Saccharomyces cerevisiae S288C: one gene and its partners. The gene in region 2 interacts genetically with the main gene of each other region. Each region holds a gene or a part of one and is shown on either strand. Other genes may lie near its edges.

What was found.
Region 1: of YKU70 (region 2) and CHK1, a mutation in one rescues a mutant of the other (synthetic rescue), as found in Saccharomyces cerevisiae (5 studies listed by BioGRID).
Region 3: of YKU70 (region 2) and MEC1, a mutation in one rescues a mutant of the other (synthetic rescue), as found in Saccharomyces cerevisiae (3 studies listed by BioGRID).
Region 4: of YKU70 (region 2) and DNA2, a mutation in one rescues a mutant of the other (synthetic rescue), as found in Saccharomyces cerevisiae (4 studies listed by BioGRID, with this or other methods).

What each region holds. Positions count from the first base shown.
Region 1 is NC_001134.8:747,605-751,718, forward strand, and holds CHK1 (serine/threonine protein kinase CHK1), read left to right. Parts: upstream 1-1,989; coding exon 1,990-3,573; downstream 3,574-4,114. Other genes in the region: HSM3 (Hsm3p), read right to left, coding at 1-199; UBX7 (Ubx7p), read right to left, coding at 457-1,767; DNA-binding protein RIF1, read right to left, coding at 3,752-4,114. UniProt on the Saccharomyces cerevisiae protein: Serine/threonine-protein kinase which is required for checkpoint-mediated cell cycle arrest and activation of DNA repair in response to the presence of DNA damage or unreplicated DNA.
Region 2 is NC_001145.3:836,681-840,540, reverse strand, and holds YKU70 (ATP-dependent DNA helicase YKU70), read right to left. Parts: upstream 2,355-3,860; coding exon 546-2,354; downstream 1-545. Other genes in the region: NGL2 (RNA exonuclease), read left to right, coding at 1-397; RIT1 (tRNA A64-2'-O-ribosylphosphate transferase), read left to right, coding at 3,674-3,860. UniProt on the Saccharomyces cerevisiae protein: Single-stranded DNA-dependent ATP-dependent helicase. Involved in non-homologous end joining (NHEJ) DNA double strand break repair. DNA-binding is sequence-independent but has a high affinity to nicks in double-stranded DNA and to the ends of duplex DNA.
Region 3 is NC_001134.8:503,833-511,675, forward strand, and holds the start of MEC1 (protein kinase MEC1), read left to right. Parts: upstream 1-1,835; coding exon 1,836-7,843. Other genes in the region: HSL7 (protein arginine N-methyltransferase), read right to left, coding at 1-455; cyclin-dependent protein kinase regulatory subunit CKS1, read left to right, coding at 1,022-1,474. UniProt on the Saccharomyces cerevisiae protein: Serine/threonine protein kinase which activates checkpoint signaling upon genotoxic stresses such as ionizing radiation (IR), ultraviolet light (UV), or DNA replication stalling, thereby acting as a DNA damage sensor.
Region 4 is NC_001140.6:424,085-430,943, reverse strand, and holds DNA2 (bifunctional ATP-dependent DNA helicase/ssDNA endodeoxyribonuclease DNA2), read left to right. Parts: upstream 1-1,765; coding exon 1,766-6,334; downstream 6,335-6,859. Other genes in the region: U4/U6-U5 snRNP complex subunit PRP8, read left to right, coding at 1-1,237; 6-phosphogluconolactonase SOL3, read right to left, coding at 6,471-6,859. UniProt on the Saccharomyces cerevisiae protein: Key enzyme involved in DNA replication and DNA repair.

The DNA of each region.
Region 1 (4,114 bases), on a different chromosome or scaffold from region 2:
ATACGTTAGACGTCAGAAAACGCTTGATCGTAGCCAGTAGTGGTTTAACATCCATATCTGGAAGGGAGACAACAGTCACAAGATTCAAAGAACATTTCCTTAATAGTGTGTTGATATCTTCAGGCAAGTTATCTTCATTAAGTTCATTTTCTAATTGCGTAAGGAGATTTTCCACGTAATTTGTTTCTTTCTCACTCATTGCTCCTGTTTCGCTGAGTTCTTTTGCGGTGATTATAGTTGTAAACTTGTTTTATTTTTAATCCCGTAATTAAGGTGTTTATATAAACTTACTCTTCAATTTTTCTATATGCATTTGAAACAGAAAAAAAGATATAAAAATACCAGCTATAACAAAAATCCATGTAAATAAAATTACTGTATATTTTTTTATGTAATCTAATCAAAAAAAATTCACGTCTAATACTAGTCATAAATGGAGTTGAAGCCATTAACTACTTATTTTTTATCTTCGTCCTTTTTCTTTTCTAAATGGACATTATTACCATTAAAGGTTGTTGGGTCTTCAGGATCTTCTTGATGATCGTTGTTAACAAATTGGAAAACATTTGGCGAGACAGAACGTGACGTAGTAAGGTTGGTTTCCGATGGGTACCTGGTTCCGCTAGGTGTCAGCATTGGTGATGCATGAGCAGATGATTGAACTGGTTCCCGAACATTGTTGTATTGGAAACAGCTTGACGAAGCAGCTCCAGATAAAGGTGTTGAAGACCTCACTTCGTGACGATTCGGCTTCGATGTTTCCTCACGTTGTGATGTTACTTCAGGATCTTTATCGTTGTGCCACCACGTAGAGAATCCCTTATAAAGACGGCCCAAAAGGCTTGGTCCCTCCATCCCAGTCACAGATAGCCCCGAGTTTTGAGTTTCTAGTGGTTTAAGTAATAATGCAGACCTTGGAGTTAGTTCTAGTGTCTCTAGCGTCTTCAATTCATCAGAATCCTTAAATGTCACTCTGGGAATGCCCCTGTGGAATGAGTACGGGCAGTCTCCATCTGTCCTGTTGACGTCCACCCATTTTCTAACGTCATTTAATGTTTCAGACGAGTTGAACTCATGTTTTAGAGTCTTGCCATCAGTCATCCTGATTTGCAAGACGCATTTGCTGCTGTGCAGTTTTTGTGCGTCTTTTATGTAATCATGAACATCCAATGGCTTATCATCATCAAGGGTTCTGTGATGAGTTTCATCAAGAGCTTTTCTTTCTGCACGGTCTGCCCTAACAAGTCTTATAATTCTTTCTCTTTCCTCCTCAGCCAGCTTTCTTTGTTTCAGTTGTTCACGACGTTGGATCTCTAAGGTAGTCTCAGCAATCCGTTCTCTTGCATTTTTCCTATGGACGTCTCTGGATGACTTTTCTTCTCTAGCCAAACCTGGATTGGTTTCCCTGGACGAACTCTCACCAGCCTTTTTGTCTTTGATGCCTATGCACGCCAGCAACTTCTCCCAATGTCGGTCATCCTCGCCTTGAATAATCAATTCTATCTTTCCAGCACGTATCAAGTATATACTGGGTACAACTACATTAGGAAATACTTGCTCAAATAACTGGAACTGCTCAGTGTCTTTGACCAACCTCAACCAAATACTATGTTCCGCTAAAGTATCTAATGAGACATCATCTCCTTTAAACCAACTTTTCAGCCACTGGTCATCCCGTGCAGTGTTGTAAACGGCCAGCACAACGCCTTCCTTGATGGAATCGTTTATTGCTTCTTCCACAGAATCTCTAAACAGTGCTTCTAACATTTGGTTACGGCTGTTTGGTTTAGCTATCCTTGCTTCTTTGTAAGTGCTTTCAACCTCAACCCAGCTCCCTTTTAAATTTTCAACATTACTACGAGGCCTGCCGAAGTTAATAAAGAGCGGCTTTAAATGTCATTTTAATAATTGAATGGCAAATAAAAACAACTACAGCTTCAAACATAAGAGTATATCATAAGTTGCTGTATATGGGCAGCACGTATTACTATGAGTCTCTCGCAGGTGTCACCTTTACCCCATATCAAGGATGTTGTTTTAGGAGATACAGTAGGCCAAGGCGCATTCGCCTGCGTTAAAAATGCTCATCTTCAAATGGATCCCTCCATTATTCTAGCTGTTAAATTCATTCATGTTCCCACTTGCAAAAAAATGGGACTCAGTGACAAGGATATCACAAAAGAGGTTGTTTTGCAATCGAAGTGTTCTAAGCATCCTAATGTTTTGAGACTTATCGATTGTAATGTCTCTAAAGAATATATGTGGATAATTCTGGAGATGGCAGATGGTGGTGATCTATTTGATAAGATTGAGCCTGACGTTGGAGTTGATTCCGACGTGGCCCAATTTTACTTTCAACAGCTCGTTAGTGCTATTAATTATCTGCATGTAGAATGTGGAGTTGCTCACAGAGACATCAAGCCTGAAAACATCTTACTCGATAAGAACGGAAATCTGAAGCTAGCTGATTTTGGGCTCGCCTCTCAATTTAGGAGGAAAGATGGTACATTACGTGTATCCATGGATCAAAGGGGTTCTCCACCCTACATGGCTCCTGAAGTATTATATTCTGAAGAGGGTTATTACGCAGATCGAACAGATATATGGTCTATTGGCATCCTCTTGTTCGTATTGTTGACTGGTCAAACGCCTTGGGAATTACCTTCATTAGAGAACGAAGATTTCGTCTTTTTTATTGAAAATGATGGAAATTTAAACTGGGGACCCTGGTCAAAGATAGAATTTACTCACTTGAACCTACTCCGAAAAATTTTACAACCTGACCCAAATAAGAGGGTGACATTGAAGGCTTTAAAGTTACATCCTTGGGTATTACGTCGAGCTTCATTTTCTGGGGATGATGGTCTCTGTAATGACCCTGAACTCTTGGCTAAGAAACTGTTTTCTCACTTAAAAGTCTCACTGAGTAACGAAAATTATTTGAAATTCACTCAAGATACAAACTCTAATAATAGGTACATTTCTACTCAGCCAATTGGTAACGAATTGGCTGAGCTTGAACACGACTCAATGCATTTCCAGACAGTTTCGAATACACAACGTGCATTTACCTCGTATGATTCAAATACGAACTATAATAGCGGAACAGGTATGACACAAGAGGCTAAGTGGACGCAATTCATAAGCTATGATATCGCTGCCTTACAGTTTCATTCTGATGAAAATGATTGTAATGAATTAGTAAAACGACATTTACAATTTAATCCGAATAAACTTACCAAGTTCTACACGTTGCAACCTATGGATGTTTTGTTACCGATTTTGGAGAAAGCCTTGAATTTATCACAAATTAGAGTAAAACCCGACCTTTTTGCGAATTTTGAAAGATTGTGCGAATTATTGGGTTATGATAACGTTTTCCCACTTATTATAAATATTAAAACCAAAAGTAATGGGGGTTATCAATTATGCGGTAGCATTTCCATCATAAAGATTGAAGAAGAGTTGAAAAGTGTCGGATTTGAAAGAAAAACTGGTGATCCTTTAGAATGGAGAAGATTGTTCAAGAAAATTTCAACTATCTGTAGGGATATTATCCTAATTCCCAACTGAAAAAAATGGAGACAAAAGAAGGGTTAAGATGCACTGATCAAAAAAAAAAAAAAATTCTTTCTACTTATTATATATCTCTCTCGATTTCTAGTGTGTCATCGTAACTATATATTGTTTCGAGAGATTTTATTATTGTAATTAATTTATTGCCATTTTGATCTATTCTACATACTAACAATCAATTCATATCATTATCCCTGTTTGAGTAATATTCGAGCCTCATCATAAAATCTAATAATTCAATTCTCAAGTTTCTTCTTTCTTCCACAGATATTCCGTTCAAGTCGCCCGGTGTGAACCCTCTCAATCTGGCCACTAACCTTCTCGACTTTTTTGAAAAAAAGTGCACTTTTAATGAAGGTGTGGCTTCCCTAGATGTAGCATCTTCGTTACCATCTCCCCCCAACAAAGGTTCGCCATCTGCTTCTGTGTGGGCTTGGCCTAATTGAATTTCATGGTGTTTTTCTTTTCCACCAATTGTTTTTGGTACGGTGTCTAAGCCATTCTGCGCGTTGATATTTGTATTTTCTGTCATTCGAGG
Region 2 (3,860 bases):
TGCTAATGAAGAACAGTCTGAACTCGTAGATAAAATGGCACAACTCCATAACTCATTGGATATGAGGGCTATTTCACTATACTCTGTTGGGTATAAGAATGTTCATCCAGAAAATGCAGGTCTTGATAATGATAGAGGTGAGCCTGAAATTTCAAATTGGGCAAACACTTGGCGTGGTTTATTAGACTATCTATTTTATGTAAAGAAATGGGACCCACAAAGTAATTGTCAGGAAGTGGAAACCCTTGGCGATTTTGAAAAAGAAAATAAAGTTAAATGCAGAGGTTTTTTGAGAATGCCGCCCGGTAATGAAATGACAAAGCATGGACAACCACATGTTGGAGAATATGCAAGTGATCATTTGTCTATGGTGTGTGATTTAGAGTTACAACTATAGATTACTGTCGTGCATAAATATCTTGCTAATAGTTGTACAGTACAACGTTTAGCACGACAAAAGTTCTTAATAATAAATATTACATCAAATACCCTACCCTACCAAATATTGTATGTAACGTTATAGATATGAAGGATTTCAATCGTCTTTATATATTGAATTTCGGCTTTTTATCAAAGGGCTTCTTTTCTTCTTTTATCGAAATGTTATCATCGTTAAATTTTTTGTAGAACATATTCCAGATTTTAACATATTTATTTAGCCTTTGGATGATTGGATCTTCTGACTTCTCAGATTCTAAAATTTTATTTCGTATATAATATAGTTTCCTTAAAGAATCGTCCTCACGCATCATTCTGTCTTTTTTAGTATTAGGTGTCTCATTTTCGTCAAAAGTGGTTTCAATTTGCAACAGGTAATCATGTAAAACTTTGTAATGTTTTTGTAATAGTGGGTTTTTGAAATCGGATGGGTTATATCCATCCCTCAAGTTAAAGTATCCCATTATACTTTGAGTTACTTTTTTCATGTTATCATAATCTAGTTTATGTTCAGAGCCATCATCATAGGATAGTAAACTAGGAAATTTTCGAATTTCGTCTAGGAATGGAACCCTGTAGAGATAAAATCCTTCGTTGTAGTCCTTCACGCTTGAGGGTGATAACGTATATAGTGAAGGATGTGAATTTGATTTAAGCTTCCCCCATAATATTGCAATTTTATCTTTTTTTCTCAAAATTTTTAATAAAGAAGCCAAGGTTCTTATCGAACCTTCATATTTTGCTTCATCTGGTACGATAAACGAACTTTTGTCTATGTTATTGAAATAGTGTATCGATTTGCTCGATGAACGGAACCCAATAATCTTCAAAAACGCATCTTTTTGAGTATAAGCCTCCATTACTATCTGATCTTGACTATCTGATAGATTGATATCGAGGTCACCATAAGGATAAACCTTGACAGTTTTACCAGTAACGTCTTCTCCTGTTATAGGATTTAAAAATTTTCTTTTTGAATATGCTTCTTGTCTGATATCTTCATGCTCATAAACAAGTTTATACCTGACTCCAGCTTTTTCATGGGTATACATAGTGTAACCCTTGACTCCGACTATAAAATTTGTTTTCTCATCCAAGATTAATGGACATTGAAACATTATCCTCTTTACCTCCTTTTTCCTTAGGATTCTGGACTTGATGTATTTAGCATCTATAGGCTTTGTACTTGGACCATCAAATTCAGAATCCAAACCAGTATTCTCATTTGTATGTGAACCCAACTGCAGTATGTCCGAATAAAACTCGTTGTCAAATGGTTTATCGGCATAGCCAATAAAAAAAGTTGCAAAATTCACTTTGTTATCAAATAAATCAATTGTAAGCCTTCTCAATCTTGCCCGTTCATCGATATCTTGCGCCTCTTGTGGTTTATCAATGTCAGTGAATAAGAACACTCTCTTGTTGCTTAATTGCTTTTGACCCGGAATCTCTTCCAAAAAAGTGTCAAGCATGAATGTGAATAATACAGATAAGCGCACTTGCTTTTCACTCCCAGTTTGTTGAAACATAAAATAGTCGTATAGGCTTATTCTCCCCGATGATAAATCTTCTAAAAGATCGTTCAATTTCTTCATAAATGTAGCATTTATATCCCTTAATGGAAAAAGTTCATAGATACCTTCCTTGGCATCCTCTCTGTTACAGTAATAAAAATAGCAACCAATAGCTGTCCCAGGTCTTGTTATGACCAATTGTGACATTAGCTCATCTAGTGATTCCAGAATTTCCAACAATGGTGATTTATACTCTAGATCAGAGGACTCTTTAAACATTGTCTCTGATAGTTCAATGCAAAACAAAATTCCTTCATGGATATCAAACTTCCTATAACCTGTTTCATCCACTTGATCGTTAAGTTCTCCACTATTGCCAAATGCATTAGTGACTGAGCGCATAATATTCCCGTTTTAAAATCAGGCTTAGAGTCACTTAACAAATCATAGCTTTACTGTTGAAAACTAGAACAGTAATACAGAGAATGTCATTTGGTAGCTACCTTAAAGCAATCCCTAATACATGAAATTGAGAATCTTCAAAAATTAAGGTAATCAAAAGTAAAAAAATATCTCCCGGGGGCGAGTCGAACGCCCGATCTCAAGATTTCGTAGTGGTAAATTACAGTCTTGCGCCTTAAACCAACTTGGCTACCGAGAGTCAATTAACTGATAACCATTCAATTATGAGTCCGTCTAATATCATGCTTATTCACAATTTTAATATAAGCAACCTTGCAGAAGTGACCTGTTGTCAAAACGGAATATCAACTTGATTGAGGGGATGATAATTATCCTATATATTCTATAAATATGGATTATACTGAATATTGGGTGAATAATTTGATAATTGTTGGGATTGCATTGTTGATCAAGGCTATATAATATTATGTACACAGAATATATTAGAAGTTCTCCTCGAGGATAGAAATCTCAAAATGGAATCTATATTTCTACATAATAAAATTACGATTATTCCTCATTCCGTTTATATGTTTCATTATCCTATTACATTATCAATCCTTGCACTTCAGCTTCCATTATACTTGATAACTATTTCTCAATCCTTATTTTATGTTTTTCCACCGCATATTATAATATGCCAGTAATATTTATTCTTATTAATGGTCGTTAATTTCACACCAGGCGTGTTTATAACTGAGTAATCACTTTAAATTTGAGCATCCGGTTTTGCACCGTTAATAGTATCATTGTTAATTAGTAGGCAGGTTGTAGTATATTCTAAGAATAAAACAGGTGCCCTTAATCTGTACAAGAGAAGAGTATGAAATATGAATTACATTGGGCATATCGACTATACGCAATATATCAGTAGCTTCGACGATTTAGGTAGGTATAAGGGTTTCCTATACCTGTATACACAAATTTCAAACTTATGGCCGAGCCAGATAGTCCTTTAGCTATGCCTTCCATTACTTCTTGGAAAGCTTGTTGCATTTCCCGTCATATTATGTACGGTTACAACTTTTTTGTTGATTTCCATGCCCGAAGGGAGCTTAGCATAGCCGCTATTACATAATCTTATCATCTTCATCAAAAATGAACTTCTAAAATCATCCCACCACTCTATTGCTCTTCATATATGCGTTGTATGTTTATGTGCTTTGTTCTTATTACTGCTTAACTGTGACTGGGCCCATTATTCATTGTTCATATGCAGGAAAAAAAAAGCATGCTTGAAAATTTTGATCTCTTGATGGATGGTATCGAGGCTATCAAAGAGATATAGATCCAGAGTACAGTTTAGTATATCCGTGATGGATGAAAATATTTATCTTTCGCTATCTCAGATAAATAAAGACATCAGAAAGGAAAACAAGTCCGTAAGGAATCGACTTCAGAGTATTCTTTTAGACAATAAATTTTTGCAAGATCGAGTTATCCCTA
Region 3 (7,843 bases), on a different chromosome or scaffold from region 2:
AGGTTGGACAGGTCCCGTGGAGGCGCCAATATTAGCTTATTGATTCCAACAAACCTCGCGTACTTACATTCGTTTAGAAGGACCTTTAAGCCAAGATCTCTTACATTTGGATCGCGACTCTCCAGCTCCAGCCAAGAGGATAACAGCCCTATGTAAGACGGCGTATCGTCATTGTCTAGCTTCTTGACGTTGAACGGGGGTATACAGATATCCTGCAACTGCGGTTCAGGAATTTGAAGCGGTTTCCAGTTCTGTATGGATTGTCTTTGGAAATCTTTGAAAACTTGCCCAACTATTTCCTTATATCTTGGCGTTGTTATAGGAAGCAAAACGTAATCATAGTTACTAGGCAGTTCTGGTGAATGACTAGAGACATTTTCTAGGAAACGTGACTTTTTGCTGTGCTGTTTATGATTAAAGCCTGGTTTGACACCAACAAATACGTTGCTATGCATATGCAAACTGAACCCTTTGTATATATAAAAATTATATGTATAAAAGAAGAGGAACGTCCGCACAATTCCACACACACACACACACACACGCTTTCACACACGCAATTTGAAATAGCTCCTATAGGGCTTGGGAATAGGATCACAAGTCACTCGAAATATACCATTTTTTCTATCACACATACACATTGTATAAAGCCATTTGTTTCAAAAAAATATAAAAACACTGCGCAGCGTGCTGTTTCGGGTTCCATTTGTGATTGTTTATTTTTCTTTTGGTTTAGCTCAGTGCAAAACGAGGGCTCGAAGAATTTTCAGATAAAACAGTACTCGAGCCCTGAGATCTGTTTTAGGGTCTAAAAGGCGGGTTATAAAAATATGTCAGGTGATTTTTTTTTCTCGTGGTATGAGATAAATAAAGAATGGAGCTTTTATGCATGAAAGGACAGCGGATGGCAGTAGAGCAGACATCAGTAGCATTCATTACAACTCTGTCGTAAGTTCTTGGAACTGCTGGCCGCGTTGGATACAACTAGATTGACACGCACTTACTCTCGTCTTACAGTACTATGTACCATCACTATCACGCCTTCCAAGGCAGAAAGCTTACTGACCAAGAAAGAGCACGCGTGTTGGAGTTTCAAGATTCCATTCACTATTCTCCGCGGTACTCAGACGATAACTATGAGTACAGGCATGTGATGTTACCTAAGGCCATGCTAAAAGTTATCCCATCTGATTACTTCAATTCGGAAGTGGGGACCCTGCGTATATTAACAGAAGACGAATGGAGAGGCCTCGGCATCACACAGTCTTTGGGGTGGGAACATTATGAATGCCATGCGCCAGAACCACACATTTTGCTATTCAAAAGGCCGCTGAACTACGAGGCCGAGCTGAGGGCAGCGACCGCTGCTGCTCAACAGCAACAGCAACAGCAGCAACAGCAGCAACAACAACAACAGCAACATCAAACACAATCGATTTCGAACGATATGCAAGTTCCACCCCAAATCTCCTAGCTTTGATATACTCTAATTACTGAAATTGAATTCCTTTTCAAGGCTCCATAACTATATGGAGCATACTATGTACTTATCATAATAAAGAATAAACAAACAAGCAAACAAAAAAAAAAAAAACTATGGATCATAGTTTTCACCAACAAGCATTAGAATACAAATAAAATTTATATAGTGAATATCCTTCAAATAAATTTCTTCTTTCCCTTATAAATCAAATAGATGGAACGCACGCTCCAAAACTAGTCAACTAGAAAAAAATACCCGCCGACGGACAATTTTGAAGAGAGATGATTAATGAAGACAAAGTGAGGCTGGACAACAAGAACGACATACACCGCGTAAAGGCCCACAAGACTGCATGGAATCACACGTCAAATATCTTGACGAATTGATATTGGCAATAAAAGACCTGAACTCGGGGGTGGATTCAAAGGTGCAGATTAAAAAAGTGCCCACGGATCCATCTTCTTCTCAGGAGTACGCCAAGAGTTTAAAGATCCTGAACACCCTCATAAGAAACCTAAAAGATCAAAGAAGGAACAATATCATGAAAAATGATACTATATTTTCGAAAACAGTTTCCGCCCTTGCCTTATTGTTGGAGTACAACCCCTTCTTGCTTGTTATGAAGGATTCCAACGGGAACTTTGAGATACAAAGGCTGATAGATGATTTCCTCAACATATCCGTTCTGAACTATGATAATTACCACAGAATATGGTTTATGAGGCGAAAATTAGGCAGCTGGTGCAAAGCATGTGTCGAATTTTACGGAAAACCTGCTAAGTTTCAGCTTACTGCACATTTTGAGAACACCATGAATCTTTACGAACAGGCCTTGACTGAAGTCTTGTTGGGCAAGACTGAGCTTCTCAAATTTTATGACACCTTGAAGGGTCTATACATTCTTTTATACTGGTTCACTTCGGAGTATAGTACTTTTGGGAACTCTATAGCATTCTTAGATTCTTCTTTGGGGTTCACGAAATTTGACTTTAACTTCCAACGATTAATCAGGATTGTTCTTTACGTCTTTGATTCCTGCGAACTAGCAGCACTAGAATATGCCGAAATCCAACTCAAATATATTTCTCTAGTTGTGGACTATGTTTGCAATAGAACAATTTCCACAGCCCTGGATGCCCCAGCGTTAGTTTGTTGTGAACAATTAAAGTTTGTATTGACTACTATGCATCATTTTTTGGATAACAAGTATGGGCTCTTGGATAATGACCCCACTATGGCCAAAGGAATTCTTCGACTATATTCTCTTTGCATTTCTAACGATTTCTCAAAATGCTTTGTAGACCACTTCCCAATTGACCAGTGGGCAGATTTTTCACAAAGTGAACATTTTCCGTTCACGCAGTTGACTAATAAAGCTCTCTCGATTGTATATTTTGATTTGAAAAGAAGGTCCCTACCTGTTGAAGCTTTAAAGTACGATAATAAGTTCAACATCTGGGTATACCAATCGGAGCCGGACTCGAGCTTGAAAAATGTCACTTCTCCCTTTGATGATCGATATAAGCAGCTGGAAAAGCTAAGGTTGCTAGTACTAAAGAAGTTTAACAAGACAGAAAGAGGAACTTTGCTCAAATACCGCGTGAACCAGCTAAGTCCTGGATTTTTTCAAAGAGCTGGAAACGATTTCAAGCTAATTTTAAATGAAGCATCTGTATCCATTCAAACTTGTTTCAAGACAAACAATATAACAAGGCTAACATCATGGACTGTAATTCTCGGACGTCTAGCCTGTCTAGAATCAGAGAAGTTTTCCGGCACTCTGCCAAATTCCACAAAGGATATGGATAATTGGTATGTTTGTCATTTATGCGATATTGAGAAAACTGGCAACCCTTTCGTGCGAATAAATCCAAATAGACCAGAGGCTGCGGGTAAATCAGAAATCTTCAGGATACTTCATTCAAACTTTCTATCTCACCCAAATATAGATGAATTTAGCGAATCTTTGTTAAGTGGCATCTTATTTTCTCTACATAGGATATTTTCACACTTTCAACCTCCAAAACTTACAGATGGAAACGGTCAAATCAATAAGAGCTTTAAACTGGTACAAAAGTGCTTTATGAATTCTAACAGATACCTACGTTTATTAAGTACTAGAATTATACCTTTATTCAATATATCAGACTCTCATAATTCCGAAGATGAACACACTGCCACGCTGATAAAGTTTCTACAATCTCAAAAATTGCCAGTGGTGAAAGAAAATTTAGTCATTGCTTGGACACAATTAACATTGACGACTTCTAATGATGTATTTGATACACTACTTTTGAAACTGATTGATATTTTCAATTCTGATGATTATAGTTTACGAATAATGATGACTTTGCAAATTAAAAATATGGCCAAAATTTTAAAGAAAACACCATATCAATTACTATCGCCTATTTTACCTGTATTACTAAGACAGTTGGGAAAAAACCTCGTGGAAAGAAAAGTTGGCTTTCAAAATTTAATAGAATTATTGGGATATTCTTCAAAAACAATTCTCGATATTTTCCAGAGATATATCATCCCTTATGCAATTATTCAATATAAGAGCGATGTGCTAAGTGAAATTGCTAAGATTATGTGTGATGGCGATACAAGTTTAATTAACCAAATGAAGGTTAATTTACTGAAAAAAAACAGTAGGCAAATATTTGCCGTAGCTTTGGTAAAACACGGATTATTTTCTTTGGATATCTTGGAAACCCTTTTTTTAAATAGGGCTCCAACTTTTGACAAAGGATATATAACTGCATACCTTCCCGATTATAAAACTTTAGCTGAAATAACGAAGCTCTACAAAAACAGCGTTACTAAAGATGCAAGTGACAGCGAGAATGCTAATATGATTTTATGCTCTTTGCGATTTTTAATCACCAATTTTGAAAAAGACAAAAGGCATGGTTCGAAGTACAAAAATATCAATAACTGGACGGATGATCAGGAACAAGCGTTCCAAAAGAAACTACAGGATAATATCTTAGGTATTTTCCAAGTTTTTTCGAGTGACATACATGATGTTGAAGGCCGCACCACTTACTACGAAAAGTTAAGGGTTATCAATGGCATTTCTTTTCTTATCATATATGCCCCCAAAAAATCAATAATTTCCGCATTAGCCCAGATTAGTATTTGTTTGCAAACAGGACTTGGGCTTAAGGAAGTTCGATACGAGGCCTTTAGATGTTGGCATCTGTTAGTTCGCCATCTAAATGATGAAGAACTCTCTACTGTTATAGATAGCTTAATTGCATTCATACTTCAAAAGTGGTCTGAGTTCAACGGAAAACTTCGAAATATAGTGTACAGTATACTGGATACCTTAATCAAAGAGAAATCGGACCTGATTTTGAAATTAAAACCTTACACTACTTTGGCTTTAGTAGGCAAGCCTGAATTAGGTATTTTAGCTCGTGATGGCCAATTTGCAAGAATGGTGAATAAAATAAGAAGTACCACGGACCTTATACCCATATTTGCTAATAACTTGAAAAGTAGTAACAAGTATGTCATAAACCAAAATTTAGACGATATAGAGGTATATCTTCGGAGAAAGCAGACAGAAAGATCGATTGATTTTACACCAAAGAAGGTTGGGCAAACTTCTGATATAACATTAGTTTTGGGTGCTTTATTAGACACTTCTCATAAGTTTAGAAATTTAGACAAGGACCTATGCGAGAAGTGCGCCAAATGTATCAGTATGATTGGTGTTTTAGACGTTACAAAGCATGAGTTTAAAAGAACAACATATTCAGAAAACGAAGTTTATGATTTGAATGATAGTGTTCAAACTATTAAGTTCTTGATATGGGTCATAAATGATATCCTCGTTCCTGCGTTTTGGCAAAGTGAGAATCCCAGCAAGCAATTGTTTGTTGCCCTTGTCATACAGGAATCATTAAAATATTGCGGGCTAAGTTCAGAGTCATGGGATATGAACCATAAAGAATTATATCCAAATGAAGCCAAACTATGGGAAAAGTTTAACTCTGTCTCCAAGACAACCATCTATCCGCTTTTATCTTCCTTGTATCTTGCGCAATCATGGAAAGAATATGTCCCGCTAAAATATCCTTCTAATAACTTCAAGGAAGGATACAAAATTTGGGTGAAAAGGTTTACATTGGATTTATTGAAAACAGGTACAACAGAAAATCATCCATTACACGTGTTTTCCTCTTTGATTAGGGAAGATGATGGCTCACTATCAAATTTTTTGCTACCTTATATTTCTCTGGACATTATTATCAAGGCAGAAAAAGGAACTCCATACGCTGATATTTTAAACGGGATTATTATTGAATTTGACAGCATTTTCACGTGCAATCTGGAAGGAATGAATAACTTGCAAGTGGATTCGTTAAGAATGTGCTATGAATCCATCTTCAGAGTTTTCGAATATTGCAAAAAATGGGCAACTGAGTTTAAACAAAATTACAGTAAACTACACGGCACTTTTATCATTAAAGATACGAAAACAACTAACATGCTTTTGAGAATAGATGAGTTTTTGCGAACAACCCCTTCAGATTTGCTAGCTCAACGCTCCTTAGAGACGGATTCTTTTGAAAGGTCTGCTCTATACCTTGAACAGTGCTATCGACAGAATCCTCACGATAAGAACCAAAATGGACAACTACTGAAAAATTTACAAATCACATACGAAGAAATAGGAGACATTGACTCACTCGATGGTGTACTGAGAACCTTTGCTACAGGAAACTTGGTTTCTAAAATTGAAGAATTGCAATATTCTGAAAACTGGAAACTCGCACAAGACTGCTTTAATGTCCTCGGCAAATTTTCAGATGACCCCAAAACTACAACCAGGATGCTAAAGTCTATGTATGACCACCAATTGTATTCTCAAATAATATCGAACTCTTCGTTCCATTCTTCAGACGGAAAAATTTCTTTGTCTCCAGATGTGAAGGAATGGTACAGCATAGGTCTTGAAGCTGCAAATCTAGAAGGCAATGTTCAAACTTTGAAAAATTGGGTAGAACAAATAGAGAGTTTAAGAAATATTGACGATAGAGAAGTACTTTTGCAGTACAATATTGCGAAAGCTTTAATTGCCATCTCAAACGAGGATCCATTAAGGACTCAAAAATACATCCACAATTCCTTTAGGCTTATCGGAACAAATTTTATAACGTCATCTAAAGAGACGACGCTGCTAAAGAAACAGAATTTATTGATGAAATTACACAGTTTATATGACCTCAGTTTTTTATCTTCTGCGAAAGATAAGTTTGAATACAAAAGTAACACTACCATACTCGATTATCGAATGGAACGTATTGGGGCTGACTTCGTGCCAAATCATTACATATTGTCAATGAGAAAGTCATTTGACCAATTGAAAATGAATGAACAAGCAGACGCTGACTTAGGAAAAACATTCTTCACTTTAGCCCAATTGGCGAGAAACAACGCTAGGCTAGATATAGCCTCCGAATCATTAATGCATTGTTTGGAAAGGCGGTTGCCTCAGGCAGAGTTGGAGTTTGCTGAAATACTATGGAAGCAAGGTGAGAATGATAGAGCCTTAAAGATAGTGCAAGAAATACATGAAAAGTATCAAGAAAATTCCTCGGTTAATGCTCGCGATCGTGCCGCCGTGCTATTAAAGTTTACTGAATGGTTAGACCTTTCGAACAATTCAGCGTCCGAACAAATTATTAAACAATATCAGGATATTTTTCAGATTGATTCTAAATGGGATAAACCATATTACTCTATTGGCTTATACTATAGTAGACTACTTGAGCGCAAAAAAGCAGAGGGTTATATTACTAATGGTCGTTTTGAGTACAGGGCAATATCTTACTTTTTATTGGCATTTGAAAAGAACACTGCTAAAGTAAGAGAAAATTTGCCCAAAGTTATCACGTTTTGGCTAGATATTGCGGCCGCATCAATTTCTGAAGCTCCTGGAAACAGAAAGGAAATGCTGAGTAAGGCTACGGAAGATATATGTAGTCATGTTGAAGAAGCGCTGCAGCATTGTCCCACTTATATTTGGTACTTTGTTTTGACTCAGTTGTTATCTAGGTTATTACATTCTCATCAATCATCGGCCCAGATAATAATGCACATACTGCTAAGTTTGGCTGTTGAATACCCCTCTCATATTTTATGGTATATCACAGCCCTTGTAAATTCCAATTCTTCAAAAAGAGTTCTTCGTGGTAAGCATATTTTAGAAAAGTATAGACAACATTCGCAAAATCCTCATGATCTAGTTTCTAGTGCATTGGATTTAACGAAAGCATTAACTCGTGTCTGTTTGCAAGATGTCAAAAGCATTACAAGTAGATCAGGCAAATCTTTAGAAAAAGA
Region 4 (6,859 bases), on a different chromosome or scaffold from region 2:
CACTGCATTTTCTAGACTTACACTACTTTTAAGAGCTTTAAAGACGAACGAGGAAAGTGCCAAAATGATTCTACTCAGTGACCCCACGATCACTATCAAATCGTACCATTTATGGCCTTCATTCACTGATGAACAATGGATCACTATCGAATCTCAAATGAGAGATTTGATTTTGACTGAGTACGGCAGAAAATACAATGTCAATATATCTGCCTTAACTCAAACGGAAATTAAAGATATTATATTGGGTCAAAATATCAAGGCACCATCTGTGAAGAGACAAAAAATGGCTGAATTAGAAGCTGCCAGGTCAGAAAAGCAGAACGACGAAGAAGCTGCAGGTGCATCAACTGTTATGAAAACTAAAACTATCAATGCGCAAGGTGAGGAGATAGTTGTAGTAGCTTCCGCTGATTACGAAAGTCAAACGTTTAGTTCAAAGAATGAATGGAGAAAATCTGCAATTGCTAATACACTATTATATTTGAGGTTAAAAAACATTTATGTTTCGGCTGATGATTTCGTGGAGGAACAGAATGTTTACGTCCTTCCAAAAAATTTATTAAAGAAGTTTATTGAGATATCCGATGTGAAAATCCAGGTGGCGGCCTTTATTTATGGTATGTCAGCAAAAGATCATCCGAAGGTGAAAGAAATCAAGACTGTTGTGCTGGTACCTCAATTAGGCCACGTAGGATCCGTTCAGATAAGCAACATCCCTGACATCGGAGACCTTCCGGATACTGAAGGCCTTGAACTACTCGGTTGGATCCATACCCAGACAGAAGAACTTAAATTCATGGCTGCGTCTGAAGTAGCAACTCATTCTAAACTTTTTGCGGATAAGAAAAGAGACTGCATTGATATTTCAATTTTTTCCACCCCGGGATCAGTATCATTAAGCGCTTATAACCTGACCGACGAAGGTTACCAATGGGGTGAAGAAAATAAGGATATAATGAACGTGCTATCGGAAGGGTTTGAGCCTACTTTCAGCACGCATGCCCAATTACTTCTCTCTGACCGTATCACAGGTAATTTTATAATTCCATCTGGAAACGTTTGGAACTACACATTTATGGGAACAGCATTTAACCAAGAAGGTGACTACAATTTTAAATACGGCATTCCTTTGGAATTCTATAATGAGATGCATCGTCCAGTACACTTTTTACAGTTTAGCGAATTGGCGGGGGACGAAGAGTTAGAGGCCGAACAAATCGATGTATTTAGCTGAATATATTCCCCAATAAACTGGAATCTGTTATTTCATAGATATATATGTAAGTATAAGTTTGTATGTATAATATTCAACGCATTTTTTATGCCCGTCGTAGTTGCTACCTACCACACGATGATGTATTATAATTTCGGAACTACTTCAAAGCTACGCTTTCCGCACTATGAAAAGCTATAAGTATGTGAAAATTGGTCATTGACTGTGATTCTATTTCAAAAAGTAACCAAAGGAGATAGACATCGTTCGGACAGAAAATGGTCCGTTGTCACTCCCATTCCATTATGTCCTTCATATAGAAATTGGATATTCTTGTTTTCATTTCGCGCAATAAAGCAATTCCGTGCGGCAGAAAGAACTTATATATATTTAACTGATCTTACGCTATTTATGGCAAAACTTGTGTTACATTTTTGAAGATAAAGTTACAATCATTACGGCAGCCTCAAAACAAAATTGGGAGAAAACATACTCAAGTGAGTACTCATTTTGTGCAAGCAAACACTGACAATTGAAGAGATCGTCAGGATGCCCGGAACGCCACAGAAGAACAAGAGGTCTGCGAGTATATCTGTTTCACCTGCGAAGAAGACAGAGGAAAAAGAAATAATACAAAATGATTCAAAGGCGATATTATCTAAGCAAACTAAGAGGAAAAAAAAGTATGCTTTTGCTCCTATAAATAACTTAAATGGGAAGAACACCAAGGTATCCAATGCAAGTGTCCTAAAGTCAATAGCCGTTTCACAAGTACGAAATACATCAAGAACAAAAGATATAAACAAAGCAGTTAGCAAGAGCGTAAAGCAATTACCAAATTCACAAGTTAAACCGAAACGGGAAATGTCTAATTTGAGTAGGCATCACGATTTCACTCAAGACGAGGACGGCCCCATGGAAGAAGTAATATGGAAATATTCACCTTTACAACGAGATATGTCCGACAAAACAACAAGCGCTGCCGAATACTCTGATGACTACGAAGATGTCCAAAATCCCTCTTCTACACCTATAGTCCCTAATCGACTGAAAACTGTTCTTAGTTTCACAAATATCCAAGTACCCAACGCTGACGTAAATCAACTCATTCAAGAAAATGGAAATGAGCAAGTGCGTCCTAAACCAGCAGAAATATCTACCAGGGAGTCTCTCCGTAATATAGATGATATTCTCGATGATATAGAGGGCGATTTAACTATAAAACCGACGATAACGAAATTCAGCGATTTGCCATCTTCACCCATCAAGGCACCCAACGTTGAAAAAAAAGCAGAGGTGAATGCAGAAGAAGTAGATAAAATGGATTCAACAGGAGATAGCAACGATGGCGATGACTCTTTGATAGATATTTTAACTCAAAAGTATGTTGAGAAACGCAAGAGTGAGAGTCAGATAACAATTCAAGGCAACACCAATCAAAAAAGTGGAGCCCAGGAAAGTTGTGGGAAGAATGATAACACAAAATCGAGAGGAGAAATTGAAGATCATGAAAATGTAGACAATCAAGCCAAAACAGGCAATGCATTTTATGAGAATGAAGAAGACAGTAATTGCCAAAGAATTAAAAAAAATGAAAAAATAGAATACAATTCTTCAGACGAATTTTCAGACGATTCACTAATTGAACTATTGAACGAAACTCAAACACAAGTGGAACCTAACACTATTGAACAAGATTTAGACAAAGTGGAGAAAATGGTCTCTGACGATTTGAGAATTGCTACTGATTCCACTTTATCCGCATATGCTCTCAGAGCTAAGTCTGGTGCTCCAAGAGACGGCGTAGTACGATTAGTAATAGTAAGCTTACGTAGTGTTGAATTGCCAAAAATTGGAACGCAAAAAATACTAGAGTGTATAGACGGCAAAGGCGAACAAAGTTCTGTTGTCGTTCGACATCCTTGGGTATATTTGGAATTTGAGGTTGGGGATGTAATACATATTATAGAAGGGAAAAATATTGAAAACAAACGGCTTCTTTCTGACGACAAAAACCCTAAAACTCAACTGGCTAACGACAACCTGTTGGTGCTAAACCCTGATGTATTATTTTCGGCAACATCAGTCGGAAGTTCAGTAGGTTGTTTAAGACGTTCAATTCTGCAAATGCAATTTCAAGATCCCCGCGGAGAACCAAGCCTTGTCATGACTTTAGGCAATATCGTACACGAGTTATTGCAAGACTCAATCAAATACAAGCTCTCGCATAATAAAATTTCTATGGAAATCATAATACAAAAGCTGGATTCTTTGTTAGAAACTTATTCTTTTTCAATTATCATTTGTAATGAAGAAATCCAGTACGTTAAAGAATTAGTTATGAAAGAACATGCTGAAAACATTTTGTACTTCGTCAATAAATTTGTTTCGAAAAGTAACTATGGTTGCTACACATCAATTTCCGGAACAAGAAGAACACAGCCAATTTCTATATCCAATGTGATTGATATTGAAGAAAACATTTGGTCTCCAATATATGGTCTTAAAGGGTTCCTAGATGCAACTGTTGAAGCTAATGTTGAAAACAATAAAAAACACATCGTTCCTTTAGAAGTGAAAACTGGAAAATCCAGAAGCGTTTCATACGAGGTTCAAGGCCTTATTTATACACTTCTGTTAAATGATCGCTATGAGATACCGATAGAGTTTTTTCTTCTTTATTTTACGAGGGATAAAAATATGACAAAGTTCCCTTCTGTTCTGCACTCCATTAAACATATTCTCATGTCCCGAAATAGAATGAGTATGAATTTTAAGCATCAACTCCAAGAGGTTTTCGGACAGGCTCAATCAAGGTTTGAATTACCACCCTTACTGCGCGATTCATCTTGTGATTCATGTTTCATCAAAGAATCATGCATGGTGTTGAATAAGCTACTAGAGGACGGGACACCAGAAGAAAGTGGCCTGGTAGAAGGTGAGTTTGAAATTTTGACAAACCATTTGTCGCAAAATCTCGCCAACTACAAAGAGTTTTTTACAAAATATAATGATCTAATAACTAAGGAGGAGTCAAGTATAACATGTGTAAATAAAGAACTTTTCTTATTGGATGGTTCCACAAGAGAATCCAGAAGTGGAAGGTGCCTTTCTGGCTTGGTTGTGTCAGAGGTGGTTGAACATGAAAAAACAGAGGGAGCGTATATATATTGCTTCTCAAGACGTAGAAATGATAATAACTCGCAGTCGATGTTATCATCTCAAATTGCTGCTAATGACTTTGTTATTATTAGTGATGAGGAGGGTCATTTTTGCTTGTGCCAAGGTCGTGTACAATTTATAAATCCCGCTAAAATTGGTATCTCCGTAAAACGAAAGTTATTAAACAATAGGCTTCTAGATAAGGAAAAAGGAGTCACTACCATCCAAAGTGTGGTCGAATCAGAGCTAGAACAATCCAGTCTCATAGCTACCCAAAATTTGGTCACATATAGAATCGACAAAAATGATATCCAACAGAGTTTGTCTTTAGCGCGATTTAATCTTTTAAGCTTGTTTTTACCAGCTGTTTCACCTGGCGTGGATATTGTTGACGAAAGGAGTAAATTATGTCGGAAGACAAAGAGATCTGATGGAGGTAATGAAATACTGCGATCACTTTTAGTTGATAATAGAGCACCTAAGTTTAGAGATGCAAATGATGATCCCGTCATTCCGTATAAGCTTTCAAAGGATACAACATTGAACTTGAATCAAAAAGAAGCAATAGACAAAGTAATGAGGGCCGAAGATTATGCATTGATATTGGGAATGCCAGGGACTGGTAAGACTACTGTTATCGCAGAAATTATTAAAATTCTCGTTTCCGAGGGGAAACGCGTGCTTTTGACATCATACACACATTCAGCAGTGGATAATATTTTAATAAAATTGAGGAACACCAACATTAGCATAATGAGATTGGGAATGAAACATAAGGTCCATCCTGACACGCAAAAATATGTCCCGAATTACGCGTCAGTGAAAAGTTATAACGATTATTTGTCCAAAATTAACAGCACCTCTGTTGTTGCTACCACCTGCTTAGGAATTAACGATATACTATTTACACTAAATGAAAAGGATTTTGATTATGTGATTTTGGACGAGGCAAGTCAAATTTCAATGCCTGTCGCTTTGGGACCTCTGCGGTATGGAAATAGGTTTATTATGGTAGGAGATCATTACCAGCTACCGCCATTAGTTAAAAATGACGCAGCTCGATTAGGTGGGTTAGAAGAGTCACTGTTCAAGACTTTCTGTGAAAAGCATCCGGAAAGCGTTGCAGAACTGACTTTACAGTACCGTATGTGCGGCGATATTGTAACTTTGTCTAATTTCCTAATTTATGATAATAAATTAAAATGCGGGAATAACGAAGTTTTTGCTCAATCTTTAGAGTTACCAATGCCTGAGGCCTTGTCGCGCTATAGGAATGAATCGGCTAACTCTAAGCAGTGGCTTGAGGATATACTAGAGCCTACAAGAAAAGTGGTATTTTTAAATTACGATAACTGCCCGGATATTATCGAACAAAGCGAAAAGGATAACATTACGAATCACGGGGAGGCAGAATTGACTCTACAATGTGTGGAAGGAATGTTATTGAGCGGCGTACCATGCGAAGATATTGGTGTAATGACGTTATACAGAGCACAGTTAAGATTACTGAAGAAGATATTCAACAAAAATGTGTATGACGGGCTAGAGATCTTGACTGCTGATCAGTTTCAAGGTCGTGACAAAAAGTGCATTATTATTTCCATGGTTAGAAGAAATTCTCAATTAAATGGAGGAGCGCTGCTGAAAGAGCTAAGAAGAGTCAATGTTGCCATGACAAGGGCCAAATCCAAGCTGATCATTATAGGTTCAAAAAGTACAATCGGCTCTGTTCCTGAAATAAAATCGTTCGTGAACCTGTTAGAAGAGCGTAATTGGGTCTATACAATGTGCAAGGATGCACTCTACAAATACAAATTTCCCGACAGATCAAACGCTATTGATGAGGCACGCAAAGGTTGTGGAAAAAGAACAGGTGCCAAACCCATCACATCAAAGTCTAAATTCGTAAGCGATAAACCTATCATAAAGGAAATTCTACAAGAGTATGAAAGTTGACAGGGGGAATAAGAAGAGCTTCTCCATAACAGGAAAGCTATCACAGCATAAAATATCTATGTCATTTTATAAAGTTTGGTATATATAACACGTAATATTAGCATCTGAGGTTCGAAAGCTCGCATGTGTGTCTTTTCTAAAAAGTTTTCGTTTGAACTTTTCCAAAAGCTTCCTCATTAACGAACCAGGATGTTTTTTCACCAAATAATTTGTTAACCAATGCGGTTGGCAATTGATCGTTTTTCAAGTCAAAGATCTCATGCATTATATTTTGTTTGGAACTGCCCTCAGCCACAAAACACAGGGCTTTGGCGTCTTTCAACACAGGCAGAGTGAAGGTGATTCTGTCACTTGGAGGCTTGGGAGAATCGTGGCACCAAGCAACTCTTTTGGTTGTTTCGTTCAGCAAGTACCTATGTGTTTCTCCAGGGAATAAGGAACAAGTGTGTCCATCAGGACCACAGCCCAACAGTACCAAATCAAGCACTTGAGGTACGATACGCTCGTACTCTGCAGCAATTTTGT